Linked DNA regions of Rattus norvegicus. The main gene of each other region encodes a partner of the protein of the gene in region 2 in a complex. Links are inferred from orthologs where the notes say so. Each region holds a gene or a part of one and is shown on either strand. Other genes may lie near its edges. The genes, in order: Ptpn7, Mapk1, Dhps and Dusp6. A codon is read from its position in the direction of its gene.

What was found.
Region 1: the proteins of Mapk1 (region 2) and Ptpn7 are in contact, whole or in part, in a crystal structure (PDB 3D42), measured with the Homo sapiens proteins. The link is inferred for Rattus norvegicus from reciprocal best matches to the Homo sapiens genes MAPK1 and PTPN7. Residues at the interface, in NP_002736.3 of Homo sapiens: Thr185, Glu186, Tyr187, Val188; in NP_001351807.1 of Homo sapiens: Arg124, Tyr125, Lys126, Ile128, Asp257, His258, Ser292, Ala293, Gly294, Ile295, Gly296, Arg297, Gln335.
Region 3: the proteins of Mapk1 (region 2) and Dhps are in contact, whole or in part, in a cryo-EM structure (PDB 8PVU), measured with the Homo sapiens proteins. The link is inferred for Rattus norvegicus from reciprocal best matches to the Homo sapiens genes MAPK1 and DHPS. Residues at the interface, in NP_002736.3 of Homo sapiens: Tyr113, Tyr187, Ala189, Thr190, Arg191, Trp192, Arg225, Lys231, His232, Tyr233, Leu234, His239, Lys259; in NP_001921.1 of Homo sapiens: Arg159, Glu160, Asn161, Asn164, Asn173, Glu174, Tyr176, Cys177, Glu180, Asp181, Met184, Asp188, Asp243, Phe247, Tyr250.
Region 4: the proteins of Mapk1 (region 2) and Dusp6 are in contact, whole or in part, in a crystal structure (PDB 2FYS), measured with the Rattus norvegicus proteins. Residues at the interface, in NP_446294.1 of Rattus norvegicus: Glu79, Glu107, Thr108, Leu113, Gln117, Leu119, Asp122, His123, Tyr126, Phe127, Gln130, Thr157, Thr158, Cys159, Asp160, Tyr314, Asp316, Asp319; in NP_446335.1 of Rattus norvegicus: Arg64 (codon at 2,254), Arg65 (codon at 2,251), Leu66 (codon at 2,248), Gln67 (codon at 2,245), Lys68 (codon at 2,242), Gly69 (codon at 2,239), Asn70 (codon at 2,236), Leu71 (codon at 2,233), Pro72 (codon at 2,230), Val73 (codon at 2,227), Arg74 (codon at 2,224).

Annotation. Positions count from the first base shown.
Region 1 is NC_086031.1:49,126,333-49,130,408, reverse strand, and holds part of Ptpn7 (tyrosine-protein phosphatase non-receptor type 7), read right to left. Parts: intron 3,287-4,076; coding exon 3,210-3,286; intron 2,017-3,209; coding exon 1,879-2,016; intron 1,579-1,878; coding exon 1,468-1,578; intron 117-1,467; coding exon 1-116. UniProt on the Homo sapiens protein: Protein phosphatase that acts preferentially on tyrosine-phosphorylated MAPK1. Plays a role in the regulation of T and B-lymphocyte development and signal transduction.
Region 2 is NC_086029.1:97,524,634-97,529,243, forward strand, and holds the start of Mapk1 (mitogen-activated protein kinase 1), read right to left. Parts: upstream 3,193-4,610; 5' UTR 2,979-3,192; coding exon 2,866-2,978; intron 1-2,865. UniProt on the Homo sapiens protein: Serine/threonine kinase which acts as an essential component of the MAP kinase signal transduction pathway. MAPK1/ERK2 and MAPK3/ERK1 are the 2 MAPKs which play an important role in the MAPK/ERK cascade.
Region 3 is NC_086037.1:39,988,454-39,993,105, forward strand, and holds the start of Dhps (deoxyhypusine synthase), read right to left. Parts: upstream 2,966-4,652; 5' UTR 2,892-2,965; coding exon 2,685-2,891; intron 2,284-2,684; coding exon 2,119-2,283; intron 1,440-2,118; coding exon 1,318-1,439; intron 1,236-1,317; coding exon 1,139-1,235; intron 1,058-1,138; coding exon 971-1,057; intron 490-970; coding exon 384-489; intron 307-383; coding exon 203-306; intron 1-202. UniProt on the Homo sapiens protein: Catalyzes the NAD-dependent oxidative cleavage of spermidine and the subsequent transfer of the butylamine moiety of spermidine to the epsilon-amino group of a critical lysine residue of the eIF-5A precursor protein to form the intermediate deoxyhypusine residue.
Region 4 is NC_086025.1:35,977,817-35,982,479, reverse strand, and holds the start of Dusp6 (dual specificity protein phosphatase 6), read right to left. Parts: upstream 2,877-4,663; 5' UTR 2,444-2,876; coding exon 2,044-2,443; intron 1,575-2,043; coding exon 1,137-1,574; intron 130-1,136; coding exon 1-129. UniProt on the Homo sapiens protein: Dual specificity protein phosphatase, which mediates dephosphorylation and inactivation of MAP kinases. Has a specificity for the ERK family. Plays an important role in alleviating chronic postoperative pain.

The DNA.
Region 1 (4,076 bases), on a different chromosome or scaffold from region 2:
TCTGGGGTCTCCACCTCAGCCACCAGGCGCAGCAGGGGCCCGGCTGATTCTGGCGTCTGGTGGTCTGGCCAGGCTGAGAAGAGGATGTGTTTCACTGACCGGCATTCCTGTTGGTGCTGGGGTATGAGAAAACAGGAGAATAAGGCCCGAGAAGCAGGATGAGGGTGTGGGTGCTGGTGATCGATCTATCAATCCGATCGGCACAGAGCAGGCAGGGGTGATTCTCCTGGCTACTTTGCTGTTCGGCTTCACCTAGGCTCAAGTCTTGGCGTGCCTCTATCTATCTATCTCGGGACTGTGGATAAGTGCATTAATCTCCTTTTCTTCCCCAGGAAGTGGGCACAGTGATATCTTTTTGTCTGCCTCCCAGGATGCTTGAGGAACAGCAAACTGATAAAGAAATCATTTGGAAGTATAAGAATGTGCACCTTAACAGATAACCCTTCCTCCTTCCTCATGTCCTCTCTTCCTCCTCTCTAGATAGGAATCTTGCTATGTTGTTCCAGTCAGTTCCCTTCTCCCATCACGTGGGTTCCGGGATCGAACTCAGGTCATCAGACTTGGCAGCAAGAGTCTTTATCCACTGAGCCCTCTCTGTCCCCTCAAAAGCATTTTTAAAGTACATCCCCGTGTACTGGCACATCTCTTTGACCTCTCCTTACCATTCCAGCATTCTCCTGGGTCTCTCTAGTCTCCTGGGGCCTAGATATCTAGCATGGGGAGAACATGCTTCCAATGGTCCCTATTTTGTTAGCTGGTGCATCCCTATTTAATTAGAGGTGTCCCTGAGGGTTGTACCTTTCTCTCTCATTCTCATTCTTGTTCTCTCTCACTCTCATTCTTTTTTTTTTTTTTTTTTTTTTGGTTCTTTTTTTCGGAGCTGGGGACTGAACCCAGGGCCTTGCGCTTCCTAGGTAAGCGCTCTACCACTGAGCTAAATCCCCAGCCCCTCTCACTCTCATTCTTGTTCTCTCTCCCACTCCCCCCCCCTCATCCCCCACCCCCTCTAGTTTCTTTTTAGTTTTTCAGAGACAAGGTTTCTCTGTGTATCCCTAGCTGTCCTGGGACTCACTCTGTAGACCAGGCAGTCCTCAAGCTCAGGGATCCACCTGTCTTCTGCCTCGAAAGTGCTGGGATTAAAGGCGTGTACCACCATGCCCAGTTTTTTTTTCTTTTTTCTTCATTCTCTCTCTCTCTCTCTCTCTCTCTCCCTTTTTCCTTTTTTTCGGATCTGGGGACCGAACCCAGGGTCTTGCACTTGCTAGGCAAACGCTCTACCACTGAGCTAAATCCCCAACCTATTCTCTCTCTCTCTTTAAAACGTAACATCATTTAAATGTGAGATCAAGGTTTAAATTAGTAAACTTGGTGAATTTAGTAAATTTAGGAAAGGTGGAGCCTGCCTTTCAGAGATGCTAGGGTGGCCCAGACCTCCCATTGGTCTGTCCCAGTGTCTGTGGGAGATACCTGAATGGTGAGGTGCCTCACAGTATATTCTGGGTGCTCTTTCATGCCCTGGATGCGGATCTGGAAGGGCCCATAGGCTTCCTCTTCTGTGGGCCAGTAGTGTACACATTTCTAGAAGGGAGGGAGCTGGGAGTCAGAGTGGGAGGGCCCATCAGTGGCGCAGGGCTGGGGCAGCAGAGAGGCCTAGTATCCTGTCCTCATATCTTAGCCCATGACCCAGGTCAGTGACCAGAGCCTAGCTCTCCCAAGCCTCAATTGGATAGTCACCCCGCCCACAGCTTCCATGGGGTATGTTCCTGAAAGGTACAGCATAGGGCCTGTCAGGGCTGCCATTGAGGCCTCTTGTCTGCTGAGTGCGGGTGCTGTGGCAGGGTAGGGTAGAGACCCTTTCCAGATGACCCTACCTCTTACCTCCTTGCCCTCTCGGAGCTGGGTGAGCATGACAATGAGGGATACATCTTCCTGCCACACCATCTCCCAGAAGTCTGCTACAGTGTTGGGCATGGGGCCCTGGGTAGCAATGTAGACCTTCTCCTTTCCATCATAGCCCTGGGGAGCCAAGGCACAGGAGGACAAAGATGCTGTGAGTCCACAGGGGCTGGGGTCAGGCTAAAGCCAGTGAGTGTAAACACTTACATACACTCATCTACAGACACACACATCGGAAGCCGCACGCTGGAGGAGGACTTGGGACCCACGATGAGGGAACACCTGAGTTCAAATTCCTGCCCTTCTGTTTCCTAGCTAAGTGGTCAGAGGCACATTCTTGACCCAGTTTCCCTAAGCAGTAGACGGTACCTAGTAATTATATAACACAGTGTCAATTAAAATCAATAAAATATATTGGCAGTCTCTCACACAGCAGGCACCGTGTGCACGTTTGTTCCCATCTTCTGCTGCTTTCTTCTAGGGCAAGATAGGACGGTCCTCAATATTTGTAAATGAACGTTTCACATTTCACGAATTACTTGCACACATTTGGCACCAGAATCCAGCGTACTCTACCTAATCTGTTCCCCTCCCCCTCCATCCCATCATCCTTTGCTTCCATCATCCTTCTATCATCCATGCATCTCACTGTTTGTCTGGACCCCGCTGGCAAACAGAGGACTGCCTATCTATTATACTTTCTGTCTGACTTTCCTCCTCAGCACCCAGACTACTGTCCTACCACATTTGGCCACAAGGGGGCACTGGTTTTACATCCACCCACCAAACACGGTAAGAAGTTGGGATAGCATGGTCTGCCTTGCTTTGAGGTCGCTATTAACTGGACATCAATCAGTCTCCACAAAGGAGGCAGTATTTGTAGGGGTCGGGTGTGGGGGCAGAGAACGAGTGTGGGAGAGGAGGTAATAGGAGATGGAGAAATTCCCACTTGAGCTGGCTTTGTGCAGCCTGTAGAAGCCATTAGTCTTTAAGAAACCAGTGACTAGGCTCAGTCTTAAGGTCAACTTACTGCCAAGTTTAGAGGGTTGTCAAGAATAGGGTAACAGGGTAGGTTAAGGTGGTTTGGAAATTTTGACATCTTTTCTAGACCGATATCTTGAGGATCGCTCAGTATGTGTCTCTTTTCCCGCTCCCCAAGTCTAGCAGAGAGAGATCTACAGCAGAAAGGGGGGAGTTGGAGCAAGGAAGGAAGTACGGGCCCTGTAGCCCAGTCACAGATGGATCACAGAGGGTCTCGTGTGGTATTTTCGTGTTTAAAGCAGTCCGCCCAGCTGCAGCAGCCAGCCACTCACCCGGATGTAATTGGCATTGATGTAGTCGCTGTCCTCCTGGCTGTGTGCCCGGCCAAGACAGACACGGCTCTGGGGATCTAGGAAGTGAAGATCAATAAAGGTGAAAGGTCAGAAGGCGACCAATGAGTGTAGATTGTAACAGAGTCAGAGGGGGAGCGTGTCCTCACTCTGTAGTCAGTACTTTGTGGACAGCAGATATTCAACCGTATTATTTTACAGACAGGTAACATAATAGCTGTGTGCAATAAAATACACTATGCCATGACAACAGGGAGCCACGATGTTTTTGAGCTGGAAAGTGATGTAATCGAAGTGGAAAGATGGACTAGTGATGTTGGTGTGCAGCAGCATAGAGCTGCAGACACTGACCGGCAGATTATCATGCTTTGGCCTTGAGATCAGCGAGGGTATAAAATAGGACAGAACTGATAGGAAGGGGAAGAGATTCTGCAAAGGAAAAATGTCTTTCTGATTACGAATACAAGCGTTAGATGAATACATTGTCTAAGCTATCGCTCAACCACAAGGGATATTGGCCTGGCTCTCCAAAGGTGTGGGTCCTTCCCCAATCAAACCGGATGGGGGATGAAGAGTCTGGCTCCCCCTCTTTGATGGCTGTAAGAGCTTGCTAGAATTAGGCCAAGGCCAAAGGCTATCAAACTCACATTGACAAGTGCTCACAGAACCTGGTCTATTCCAGCAGGCAGTGAGCCTGGAGTCTCAGCACAGGGTAGGACCCATGTGCTGGGCTGAATTCAGACCACAGTTCTGGAAGCCACTGGACTAGGCTCCAGGTCTCAAGCCTGCCTAGGAAAAGTTGGAGGTGCTAGGCCCGGGTCTGTCTGTGTGAGTTCACACCACACGGGT
Region 2 (4,610 bases):
CTCATCAGCTCAAGCTGTTACTTGTTCCTATTATCTGCCTATCAAAATCACACCCACTCTTAAATGCCCAACTCAAAACCCAGTCTTCTTCTAAAAACATTTTATTTTTAATTATGTGCATTCATATACATACATATGTGTGCACACAGAAGAACCCATAAGAGGTCAGAGACATCAAGACTACTTGAAGTTACAAGCTGTTAGGAACTGAATTCTGGTTGTAGCTCTTAACTGCTACACCTCCCACACCCACATTTTATCTTTTTGTCTTCTACATAATGATTATGAAGGGAGCTTGAACAAATAGGCACAATTCTCCACGACCTGCTTTACGGAAATCCTGCTAAGAACGGCTGAAAATCCCTTAAGTAATTTTTTTTTTTTTTTTGGTCTTTTTTTCGGAGCTGGGGACCGAACCCAGGGCCTTGTGCTTCCTAGGCAAGCGCTCTACCACTGAGCTAAATCCCCAACCCCCAAGTAATTTTTTTAAAGAGTTATTCTTAAATCAGTTTCCAGGGTGTGTACCCTAGTGAGTCTTCGTTGGACCACATGTGTGTAGATGCCCTTGGAAGGAGGGGTGCAGTAGGTGGTGGGTGGTAGTGTCACGTAACACAGATGCAGGGATCTGAGCTTAGGTCCTGCAAAAGCAGCAGGTACTCAACCACTATGCCGTCTTTCCAGCTTTTTTTTTTTTTTCTTTTTTTCGGAGCTGGGGACCGAACCCAGGGCCACTGAGCTAAATCCCCAACCCCGTCTTTCCAGCTTTTAAAGATCACTATTCAAGTGGATACTTAAGCTGAGAAGCTGCCATAAACTCAGCAATAATCAGATGATAATGACACACAATTAAGAATATTAAATAAATACTAAGATACATTATCTGGAGATAAGAGGCTGATGCTTGGATTTAAATTTCAATTATATTTGTATTTTTCTTAAAATTAAAATTTGTAGGTGCCAGCCTCATCTACAAATTGAGTTCCAGGATAGCCAGGGTGATTACACAGAGAAACCTTGTCTTAAAAAATTAATTAGTTTTATTTATTTTATGCATATGAATGTCTTGCTTAAATGCATGACTTAAGAGAACATCTCATCTTCTGGAACTATAATTACAGACTAGGCTGTCATTGGAATCGAACCCAGAGCAGCCAGTGCTCTTAACTGCTGAGTCATCTCTCCACCCCTAAAATGTGAATTTTAAAAAGAATTCTGCACAGCAAGCGGAAACTTCAAAGGTCAATAGCAACAGGATCTAAACAATCCATCTTATTAAGGTGGTCCTAAATTTTTTTGTCTCTATTTAAAGTAAGCTTTTTTATTCTTTTTTTTTTTTTAAATAAATGAGACTATGGTGGGTAATCATTTGAGTGTCAATAATAAGAGTTACTGGCATACTTACCAGCAAGTGCAAGGGCAGTAATACATGCAAGACAGATGTGATGTGGAAAGTAATTTTTCCCCATTCCTTTACAAAGACTTTCTTGTAACCGTGACCTAAATTTAATTTCCCCTTTGACTCGCAGGTCCAGTTCACTTTTACCTTCATAATTGTATACTATGAAACATTTTGCTCATAAGAATATAACTATTCTCCGGTCCTTTAAAAAGGAAAGTTAATTATTCTACCTAGTTAACACACTTGGTGAAAACACATCTTTCTTGGCATTTCTAAAATTATGACCATTCAAATTTGAATGCATTTCTGAAATAGACTTGTTCATCAGGAAAATATGCTGAAGTTCTGAAATTATTAATAAATCAAGGAAAGGCGTGTGCAATCATAGCTGAGGAGCTGAAGCATTTAAACCAGGATCTTTCTATATATAGAAAGCATGATTCTAGTTCTTCACCCTTGGGAAAAAGACTTCCTTTCAATACCTTATCTGAAAAAGGGTGTCTTCTCTTTCTTCAAGATGGCTATCCAAGTAAAATTAACTACCTCAGAAACCTTCGATAAATGAACTTGCTTTAATTAAAACAATACACTTCATTCCACAAGCAGAAAGTACTGTAAGTGGTTGTGTATATATAGTGAACACTAAAACGTTAGGGAAACGACCACAGTAAATAGGGCTAATACCTATGGATACATTCACATGTACTTTTGAGGGTAACGACGGGGTAATTTAAAGTCAAATTTGGAGTTAGGCCTAACTCCAAATACATCTTAATAATTCTAAGAGTGATGCTGGTTTATCCTTCCTGAAACACAATCGGTATGATATTTAAATCCATTTTGAAACTTCAAGATTTCAGTATATCCACAACCAACGCTGTGTCATTGTTTTTTAGAAAGCCTGAGGTAGAACGCATCATTAGCTCTACTGAAGATATTTTGTGAATGCTGTTCACGTACACAGAGAGAATAAAAATATTTTGGTGCTCAGCACACAAGCCCATTATTCCGTCTTGCAAAACCATTGCCGCCGCCACCACCACGGACATGCATCTAATGGAATTCCTAGTTTTAATCTAATGTCAAAAGGCGGCGGCTATAACGCTATGAACTAGGGGACATGGTGCACTTCCGTTCCCGACCCAAGGGAGAAGCCTCGAAAGTACGCGCTCGAGACCAAGCCCGGGAGTCTTCGAGTCCTGGCCTCGGTCTGAGATGCCCTTCCAACAGCAAACGAAGGGTCAGCTCAGGAAGCAGCAGAGCAACACTTAAACCTCGAAAGGGCCCCCGGGACCCCGCCCCAGGGCCCCAGGAGTGCGGGCCAAGGAGAAGCCACGGGTCCGGGGGCGCCGCGGACCGCGAGGCCAAGGCGCGGGAAAGGCCGCAGCTGCGTCCAGATCAGCCATAGGCAGGGGGCACAGGATGACCGCGTGAGGCCGGGCCTGCAAACCAGCGCAGACACTTACCAAACCATGCCGTAGGCGCCTTCTCCGATGTACGAGAGATTAGTGTAGCGCGGCCCCACGTCGAACACCTGCCCGCGGACCATCTCCGGGCCCGCCGCCGCCGCCGCCGCCATGTTGGCTGCACAGCCTCCGCCGCGTTGGGCTCGACGCTTCGCGGTTACCGCTCGACTTGTGCTGCGCTTCCCACAGGAACCGCGCCGCCGCCCGTGTAGCAGCCGCTGGCGGCGATCGGGAACGAGGAGGGAGGACAACACAGAAGAGAGAACTAACCGCCGGTAGAACCACTGCCTGCCTTCCTGCCTGACGGGCGGGCGGGCAGCGAGTGGGAGGAGGGAAGGACTCGCGTCGAGGGGCGCTAGGGCGGAGTCAAGGGCGTGCGTGATGATTGGCTTCTCCCCTCAGAGAGGGCGGAGTCTCGCGGGCCGGCGGAAGCAGCGAAGTAAGCCAGGAGCACTGCGGCTGCGGGGGAGGGACGTCACGTGCGTTCAGAAAGCTAAGGGCTGGGTAGCTCTAGAAAGCTAGATTGGAACTTAGGCATAATGACCCCACAGAGTCCCACCACTGTACCTGGTCCAGAACGAACTCGCGCGGGACCAGGGACTTGAGACCAGAGGACTCACTGCACACCAGCCACGGGACCCCTGAGACAGACAGGCCTCTAGGAATACGTGGCCCACATTCTGCACTCTTATGCACTTAGACCGTCAGAGTGGGACAGAAACCAAAAAGATGACCCAGACCCAGAAAAATATTTTCACCCTGTAATGAGAATAATAAATAAAAAAGATGCCTTTTGGACATATAAAAACAGATTAGTCAGGAACCCTACAGTACCTAAGGCTGCTCCTGATACCCAGAGCCCAGTGACATGGAGATGACATAGTCCTAGAATCCCATGATGCCTACTGGACAAAATATAAGCAGAGACCAAAAGCAATGCTTTGCTCTACGTATCTGGAGAGATGCACCTTGATCTGTTCTGTGGCTAGAGAATCTCCCTCAGAATCCTGACCCTCAAATCAGAGACTTCTGTTAGAGATTAGACCTGACCTGAAGCTAAGATAGGTCACACAGGTGAACAGCCTTGGGAAGACAGGCTTAGGAATGTAAGGAGTTTAGAGTGTAAACCTTGCATGATGACCTTCAGCATAATAAAATATAACTTTTCTTATACTAACTACGTATATCTACCTTCTTACTGGTGACGCACACCTAACAGTGTGAGACATAAATAAGTAGAAACCAAAACACAAGACATTGAATCCCCTAATTAGAGGTTTCTTCAAGAAAATTTGCTTAATACCTATAGCATTGGAGCCAGCCATGTTTCCAGAGTGAAAAGACAGGCAAAATACAATATTTGCACTTAAGTGTTGTGAAGAAATAAAAAGCCAAGGGAAAATATAAAGAGCTGTGGGTGGGGACGCTGGAGAAAGACAGTGAAATTCCGGGACTTGGATTCAGGTGCTGTGTAACACTTTCCTGAAGGATTGAAACATTCTATCCGGAGGGGTAACTCCTTAAACAATAAGGTAAAAAACTGAAAGGAGCAAGTCAGTGTGGTGCCTCACATGTACCACTTGTGAGGCAGAGTGGGGCAGATCTCTTAAGAATGGGAGGCCAGCCTGGTCTACAGAATGAGTTCCAGGATAGCCAAGAGTCTCAAAAAAAAAAAAAAAAAAACCAAAAAACAAAAAAAGCAAAAAACAAACAAACAAAAACAAAAACAAAACAAAAAAAAACAA
Region 3 (4,652 bases), on a different chromosome or scaffold from region 2:
CCCAAGCAGTCACCTTGCCTGACTGACATTACTTAGTCCTCACATGCATGTCACTTATGGCTGTCTGACCTGCCTCACCCCAACATAACTCCAAAGAGGACAGGGACTCTGGCCCATCGAGTGCACTGCTGTAGTGCACATCTAATACCACCATCTCTCAGAGCAGAGGGTGGGGATGGCTGCCAAGAGCCACTCCACTCACCATGAGGTTAGCATTGGCGATGTGGTGCTTGACCACGCCTCCACCCAGGATGATCATCCCAGTGCGCTTGGCGAAAATGGCCTGCATGTTGATGAGCCGCAGGTCTGGGAGAGAGGGCAGAGGTCAGGCCTTGGACTCGGTGGGCTTTTCTCACCCTTCTCCCAGGGCCTTAGCACCTCACCTTCAACGATGTCCAGGACCAAGCCTGGGTTTTTATAGGAATGGAAAAAGATCATGTCACCCAGTGAGCCGTCTGTGAGTGCAGGACTCAGCACAGGTATGTGGTTCTGGTGGAGATAGGACCAGTTAGCAGCTACACCTCATACCCCAGCAAAACTGATGCCCAACCCAGTGGCATCCCTCCCGACCTGAGTAGGCTGCTTGATTTCTCTGGTGCACATGACCCTCTGCTTTGCATGTGGATGCAGACGTGAGGAAAAACCACACATGGCTTGAAGAAGGTACTGGCACACTGAGCAGTGTCTTATTGTCCAGACTCTTGAGCTGCACTGTCCCTGGGCACATGGTACCCTGGGTCAGGCCCCACCGACTTCTAAAGCACTACACCGAGTCCCAGGAGTGTAGGGGCATAGCTAGGAGAACCCTGCAGTCAAGTGACGCCTAGCCTCTCTGTTCGACATTCCTCGTCTAACTCTGGGAAGACCAAGAATGATTACTGAGACTTTTAGGTGGCTACTAAGTCAAACAAGTCATTGCAAGTCAAAGCCTAAGTACTGTCCCCAAGAATACTGTCCCCACCCAACCCACCTTATGGGCCCAATAATACACAGACTCTGGGTTGTTGATCTCCTTCCCAAGCCGGGAGATCATCTTGGAAGGTGTCCACTTCACACCCTAACAAGGGGGAGAATATCAGTATTAGCCCATGTCTTCTGACTCAACTATGCAGGTCCACCTGAGCCCTTCCAGCCCTACCTCTGTATTCTGCTCCTGCACCATCTGGTCTAGGATGGGCATGAGCCAGTCCTCAAACTTGCAATAATTGTCATTTGGCACCAGCAGGTTCCCGATCCTAGAAATGGGATCCATGAGGGCATCAGACACTGGGACCCTCAACGCGGCTTCCCTGCTCCTACCACTACTCAGAGCCTCACCTGTTGATCCCATTCTCCCGGAGCTCCTTCCCCCTGAGGCTGAACTCGCCCAGATATGTGGGTGCCAGGCACTTGATGAGATCTTCTTCCACCCCTCCAGCAGTGGTCACCAGTACATCCACCTGTGGTCACCAGCAACAACACAGACCCTTCTTCAAAGTAGTGCCCCTAACATTGGCCTGAGCTCATCCAGACCCAAAGCATGAGCTCTATGACAAAACCAACTCAAGCCTAAAGCAGACCCAGAAAACGTGGCACACTCTTGTGATCCCAGCACTCAGAAAGGAGGCTGAAGTCTAAGAACTGCCAGTATGGGTCTAGAGAGATGGCTCAGCAGTTAAGAGCACTGACTGCTCTTCCAGAGGTCCTGAGTTCAATTCCCAGCAACCACATGGTGGCTCACAACCATCTGTAATGGGATCTGATGCTCTCTTCTGGTGTACATGAAGACAGTAACAGTGTGCTCATATACAAAGGAAGGAAGGAAGGAAGGAAGGAAGGAAGGAAGGAAGGAAGGAAGGAAGAAACTGCCAGTATGTCTAAAAGCAATACTCCATTTCCTCACACCCTTTAAGATTTATTTTATGTATGTGAATACACTCTCCCTCTCTTCAGACACACAGAAGACCCCATTACAGATGGTTGTGAGTCACCAGGTGGTTGCTGGAAACCAAACCCAAATCTTTCACAGAACAGCAAATACTCTTAATCTCTGAGCCTCTTCATGTTTCTTAAATGAACAATAACCCTTTTGTCTACTGGCCCAGAGAGGCTGGGGCCACTGATCTAACGTGGACCCACCATATTGTGCTGCACGAGGTAGCGAATGGTCTCCCGGATGCCAGAACTGATGAGGTTGGACGTATAGCCCAAGAAAATGGTGCAGCCTGTGAGTGGGCGGCGGCTCTGAGTCAGGTCTTCGTGATGATCTTCATCTACTGCCAGTGGTTCCAGCTTCTTCTCAATCTGGGCATAGGGGCACAGTAAAGTTGCACTAAAACTCCAAACCTCAGTGGAGGAACCCCACATGAATTGGATTCCAGACGTTGATTGCACTCAGGGAGACTACTACAAAACCAAAGCACAACCCCTGTGCAGACCCTAACCCTCCCATTCCAGGTCCTGGTCTGTCACTTGGGGTTTGTTCCCTTTTAAGAACAACACAGTGTCTTCTCTTCAGGACTCCTTCCAGTGGGAAAAGCGAATCCAGGGCTCTCCCAGCGTTAAGCTCCTCCTACAAGCCCGTTTTGATTTTAACCCCAAGCTCCTCCCATCGCGGAACACTAGTTAACCAGGACTCCGCCTCTCCCCGGCACTCACGCGGACGGAGCGGCCCCGCCTCCCACCCGGGTCGCCCGGCGCCTCACCATGGCGTTGACTTGCTGCACCGCGCGCCCGAAGTTGGTGGCCTGGAAGCCGGTGGTGCCGTAGGCTTCCAGAAGCGCGTGGTAATCTACCCCGCGGTTGAAGTCGTAACCTTGGACCTGGGCGCTCTCGGGCGGCAACGCTGAGCTGTGCTTGAGCACAGCGGCCAGCGCCGAGGAGGGCGCCGCCCCCGACGGGGTCCCCTCCATGCGCTCTCGGCCGTTCTCTGGTCACAGCAGTCTCGGTGCCCTGGAACCCGCCAAATCCTTCAGCTTGGTCCGCCGGAGCCCAGGAAATGCGACTCGGGGGCGGGGGAGGGGTACCGGAAGCTACTTGAGTCACATGGCCCTGGCAGCGCCTGCGGGCCTGGTAGCAGCCATTTTATTCCCGTGTTCCGTACATGTGGTCCAGGAGCTGTTTGTTATTCCTTGTAGGCAGATTCAGCTTCAAGTAGATAAAAGTGCCTGATTTGCAAACTGTCTGTCCAAATATTCTTGTCCCCCCATGAGCGAGGTGATTGTTTCTAGGACGGAGCCCTTGGACAAGTTAGTTGCAGACTTTTGTCAAATGGGAGTGTTTTCTTTCGGTGCTTCCTCGAGTCGCTACAAACTTCTTTTCCCCCTACAACCATAGTTCAATTTTCACTGGATCATAGGCCTCTGGGGAGACAGGGATGACCACCATCTTTTTGCCGAAAGAAGTTTGTTGAGAATCTTTTCTCATGCGTCCCCTTTAATGATACACTGAACCTAGGACAGGGGCACCCTCATTCTACAGTTTGTGTAATCTACACTAGAAATAGTGCTCTCTGCTGGGCGCTGCGATTTAGCAATGGACTCTGCCCTCCTGATGACTATAGTCTGATGAACAGGAAACCATTAGGTGGCTAAACCAGCAATCAGGAGGTGGAGGCAAAAGAATCTCGAGTTCCAGGCCAGCCTGAACTATTGAAAGCAAGACCCTTTCTCAACAAAAGGGACGGGCATGGCTAGGGAAATAGCTGTCTGTACAGTCCTTGCTTTGCAAAAAAGCAAGAGTGTGGATTGAATATGTGTGTTTAATTGCCAGAACTCAAGAGGGGTAGGGGGTTGGCAATACCAGTAATAGCTCTGGGTAAGCAGAGACCAGTAGATCCTTGGGGATGGGACCTGAAGAATGGCTCAGTAGCCAAAGGCCCATGATAGAAGAGTCTGGACCTGTTTACATTATTGTCTGACCTCCACAAGCATGCCATGCGTGCACAAGCTCATACACACAGGTTTAGGGACCAGGTGAATGAGAGTGACATCTGAGGTTGTCCTCTGGCCTAGAAAACACACACACTCTGTTAAGTGTGAAGGTGGGTTGGAGGAATTGGTAACCAGAGCTGAGGGAAAAGGTGACTGGAGAAAACTGCCAAACACATGATGTTTTGACTGAGGCCAGAAGACCCAGAAAATTCCTGTTATAAAAATATCAGAGACACTATTTCCCCAAAGATGCACAGATAAAGGTCTCCCCTTCGTTTAACCTCCTCTATAGGCTAGCAGTGCCCAAATGCCACATCTGGCTGCAGGGAGATCTGCAATGGGTAGTATGCAGGAGGGCAAAAGGACTTGAATCCCAAGTGAGAGTCTGATGACACCTACTGCTGTAGGGAACAGGTTCCGTGAAGGTAGCCACACTGCACTGAGTCAGAGAATGATGGCCGATATGCTCAGATAAACCTCAGTCACCATGATTTACAAGCAGAGGAAAGAGCAGCTGGGGACCCAGCAAGAAGTTGACCTCCAGGCCAGTAAGACCATGGCTCAGTGGGTAAAGCCCTTGCTCAGGAGGCCTGGACACCTGAGTTCAATCTCGAAGACTGGCCTGGTAGAACAGTTTCCAGAAAGATGACCTCTGACCCAATTCACATGCAACTCCCCTCCCCTCAACGCACATAAATTTTTTTCAGACAGTGTCACTATGTAACTGACTGGCCTCAACCC
Region 4 (4,663 bases), on a different chromosome or scaffold from region 2:
CAATGTCATAAGCATCGTTCATGGACAAGTTGAGCTTCTGCATAAGGTAAGCCACTGTCACCGTGACGGAGCGGCTGATGCCCGCCAAGCAATGCACCAGGACACCACAGTTTTTGCCTCGGGCTTCATCTGTGAACACAAAAAAGAAAGGCAAGGTTTCACTAGACTGAAAAAGCAGTCTTTGCTGCAAATGCTCAGCCCTAAGTCTGAATTAAGAAGGGATAGTAAAACAAAACAAAACAATTGTGTGTGGCAGTTCAGCCCCTAAGGCAGCAGAAAATGTATAAATGAGAAATGAACATGCACACTGAACACAATCGCATATTTTAGATATTTCCTGTAAAGGGGGCTTTTGTATTAAGTTTCTAACAACAAAAAACTCCTTAATGTGTGCATTCTTTTTTGCCTCAGCTTGTGAATACCAGAAACCCTGCATTACGGCCCTGAATGCCTCTCATACAGACAAGCAGACAGCAAGGGTCTATTAAATTATTCTCCAACTGTTGTGCTGCTAACAATGGGGGTATTCAGGCATTTTAAGAGAGAGAGGGAAGTCACAGGGGACAGCCCATTAGGAGGAACAGGATGTCTACACGGCCTGAAAATGAGTTCCTTTGTAATAGGAAATGCACTACAATGCCTGGAGATTCGCTTCTCTTAGTCCCAGCCCACGGTTCTTCCTGCTGGGATCAGGTTACCCAGAGGCACAGTAACCAGTACACTGCAGTATCATTCAGCTAGGTAACGTCTAGTATTCAAACTGCTTTCCAACAACTAACTTGGGTGTCCTAAAAATAACTCCTGGGTCTTCTTTTTAAATCATAAAGCAACACTAGGATTGTCAGCAAGTGAGTGCTAATTTGCTCTCCACTCACTCCCTGTCTAGAGACAAGGAAAATGTGGCTGATTGGAACAGCCCCCTTTTAAAAGTACTGAATTAAACGGTTCAAATAGTCCCCTGATCTGCTAATGTCAACAAGCCCTGTTTCCCCTTCAGCCAGAAGGCAAACCAGAATTAACACTCTTGGAACAGTAGAGACCTGCAGTCTCTCCACCCCCAACCCCCACTCCCCAAATAGCTTGCAGGAAAACAGATTAACATCTTCAACTCATGAATGACTGAAAATTAGTCTCACCTATGAAAGAAATGGCCTCAGGGAAAAACTGGGACAGGTTTTGGCTCCAGTGATCAGAGATAGGAATTTGCTTGTACTTGAACTCCCCTGCATTCTCAAACAGATTGGGCAGATTGGGGGTGACGTTCAAGATGTACTTGATGCCAAACTCTTCCAACACGTCCAAGTTAGTAGAGTCCTTGGCACAGCCCAGGTAAAGGAAGGGCAAAATCTCCACCGGGAAGGAAGGCTGGCTGTTGGACAGCGGGCTGCCATCGGAGTCCGTTGCACTATTGGGGTCTCGGTCAAGGTCAGACTCAATGTCCGAGGAAGAGTCGGAGCTGATCCTCAGGCCCCCGAGTCCCAGCACTGGCAAGGGCGGGGAGCTGCTGCTGCACGAGCCGTCTAGATTGGTCTCGCAGTGCAGGGCGAACTCGGCCTGGAACTTACTGAAGCCACCTGCCAGAAACAAGAAAAGCGTTCTTGTAACCTGAGAAGCTGTAGTAATTTTCAGCTTGTGAGAGGCACAGGAGGTGCAGGAGACACTACGGTCAGGCGACCTATGAACCCCACTGCAGTAGTAAAAACACACTTCAATGTGCATCTTTAAGAATACAACCATCTGCCTACCCAGGGAGCGTTTATTCTTCTGATTCCGGAAATGCACAAAATTACTTAGTATTTCGAGGAGCTAGGAGGTGTCAAGCTGCACCCTGAACTACATTTCCAGCTCTTCTGAATCTTAAGTCTAAACCAACCCAGAAGAAAGCGAGAGGAAGGTGGAGGTGCCGGATTATAAAGAACCCTTAAAAAAGAAGCTACCACGCTGGCCCAGCTCCCTTAAGCGCAATGCGAGAGGCGATCGCTACCTCGCCCGCAGTTCCCCAGCCTGCAGCCCTAGCTCCGAGCGCCGGGGCGCACAACATACCTTCAAGGTAGAACGCCCGGCAGCCCTCGTCTTTGAGTTTCTTGAGCAGCAGCCCGAGGACCGACTCTCCACCTGTGTTCTCATTCCAGTCGCTGCTGTTCTCGTCGTAGAGCACCACGGTGTCGGTGCCGCAGCGCCTGGTAAAGCGGTCCCGGTCCTCGCAGCGCGTGAATAGCGCGCGCACCGGCAGGTTGCCCTTCTGCAGACGCCGCAGCATGATGCCCGGGATGGCCACGTTGATGGCAGATTCGATGTGCGACGACTCGTACAGCTCCTGCGGTCGGCAGTCCATCAGCAGCAGCTGTTCGTTGCCCAGCTCCAGCTGCTCGTTGAGCCACGCCACCGTCTTGCTGATCGCCATTTCCGACGCGAAGGGCACGGGTCTGAGCGTATCTATCATGGGGGTCGAGCTGCAGGAGAAGGCGGGGTGCCTAGCAGACGCCCCTCGAGGCAGGCATAGGCCAAGCACGCCGTGAGAAGCTCCGGCTCTCGGAGCCGGGTTTGATTCGGCCTTTCCCAAGCCGAAGCTAGCGGTTAGGGAAGGCGACAGAAGCCAAGCCGGTGGTCCCTCTGCACCAGATCACTCTCAGAGTCAATGAATCTCTCTGAATGAAAGTGCCCAGTTTTGTTCCTACCCAGTGAATGAAATCCAATTAATTCGGACTCCGTGCCACTGAGAGGAGAAAAAGGAAAAAAGAAAAAAGTCTAGCAGCTCCTAATCCCTCTGAGGCTGCACCTCAGATCCAACCCCGTGTTTCTCGCCGGATTATTCAAGACTGGGTTTGCTCGCAGTCCCTAGGACTCCGCGAGAGCACACCCCCTGTGCCAGGCAGCTCCTCAATGGATACAAACAGCCAGCGTCTCAATGGATACATTCTCTCGGCCAGCCAATGAGCGCGCTGCGGAAGGGGCTGTTGCCGTGGGGACGGGCCGGCTGGAACAGGTTGTGTTGATGAATTGTTAATGAGTTTGTCATTCACAAAAACGGAAAGGAATTTCCGCTCCGGATAAGCCCCAGTGCAAACAAGCTGCAACTGCGGGCTCGGCGGGAGGAAGGAGAAAGAAGAGGAGGCGGCGGTGGAGGAGGAGCAGGGCACATAAACCAGGGCACTAAAGTTGTCTCGTGTTTCCTTCTGTTGAGAGTTCACACTTCGCGTCTAACTCTTGCGCACCAGTAGTGCAATTAGCAAGCACAAAAGCCCTTATTCGCTACTCTTACTATCTCAAGTTAGCCTTAATAAAACGTGAGGGTCCCCCACCCCTTTTTTTATTCCCTTTAACGCTAGATCCTAGCCCGCTCCTTCTCCCTCACCACCACCCCGGTCCTCCTTTAGATCGTGTGTGGCATTTGTTTGGCTCTTTTAAAAGTCTAGTTCTGTTTGTTCTGAAGTCCTTTTAGCCGAGGCTGTGTTGGGGCTGGTGAACTGCCTGGGCTTTAGCGACCCAACGAAGTGTTAAATGCTAATCCAACATCTCTAGAAACAAACTAGTGTTTTGTTGAAACATTTTAAAGCAGCTAAGCAAACAAGCGTTTGGTTGTCCAGAAAACCAGAAGCACCCCAATCCCGAGTTTTCTCAACTTTCGGGGGGGGGGGCGAGCAGGAAAAACCTTGTCAGCTAGCCCTACACTTTTCTTATGCTCCGGTGGGGTGGAGGCATTCTGAGCCATTGCTCCGGAGATCTTGCTCCCCACCCCCACCGGTCACCCATCGAGCCTGGAGAGACGAGCTCCTTTAACGATTTGGGGTCAGAAGCAGAGTTTGGCTTCTAAGAGGAACCGGTCTGGCAAGGCAGCCTAGGTTAGGCGCCTGGGACACCGGGCCTCACCAACGCTCCCTGCAACCCGGAGACGTGGGGGGAGTCCTCCGCAAGACCTTTAAGCCTGAGGGAACTGGCTACTGTGGGCAGCGAGGCCAGTCCCCTAACCTTTCTCGGCTGCAGCGGTTCCCGAGCTCCGCATGGAGCACTCTAGCAACTCCAAACGCGCTTGCGCGCTGCGCTTTGGCCGCAGCACCGCTGCTCTGGGGAGGGGGAGGGGGAGGACACGCGGCGACCCCGTGATCGAATGTAAGGCCGTCACGGAACTGTCCCCTAGGGAGAGACCTAGAGTCGGAAAGAAGCCAGAGATGTCCCTGTCTGGACCCCTTGGTTTCCGAGTTAGGATTTGGGAGTCTCATGGGCACCACACGCAGGCAATTTAGGACGGAGGCGGCGCGGCACCGGAGCCGGATGGAGGCGTGGCCGGCGGGGGCCGCGACGGCGACGAGAGCGCATCCCCGGCGCGCACAGCTCTATTGTTATATAAAAGTGCCGAGTCCGCCCCTCCCGGACGGAAAACCACCTGTGTGCGGCGACGGCGGGCCCTGCGGAAGGCGCGCGTCCCGATCCGGTCTGCCCTTCGGGTCCCACGGAAAGGAGCCCGGCTTTGTCCGGCCGCGACCGGGAGGAGGAAGCGCTGGCTGCGGCCCTTCCCGAATCCGGGGCGCGGAGGGCGTCTAAGGTCACGGGATCTCCCCAGCCCAGAGCCTCGCAGCTCGGTCCTACCTACTGTCGCCCGCAAAGCAATTTGCATTTTTAATCACCCTCCTCTTCCGGGGTTTGGGAAATGTGGGCTAAAAGA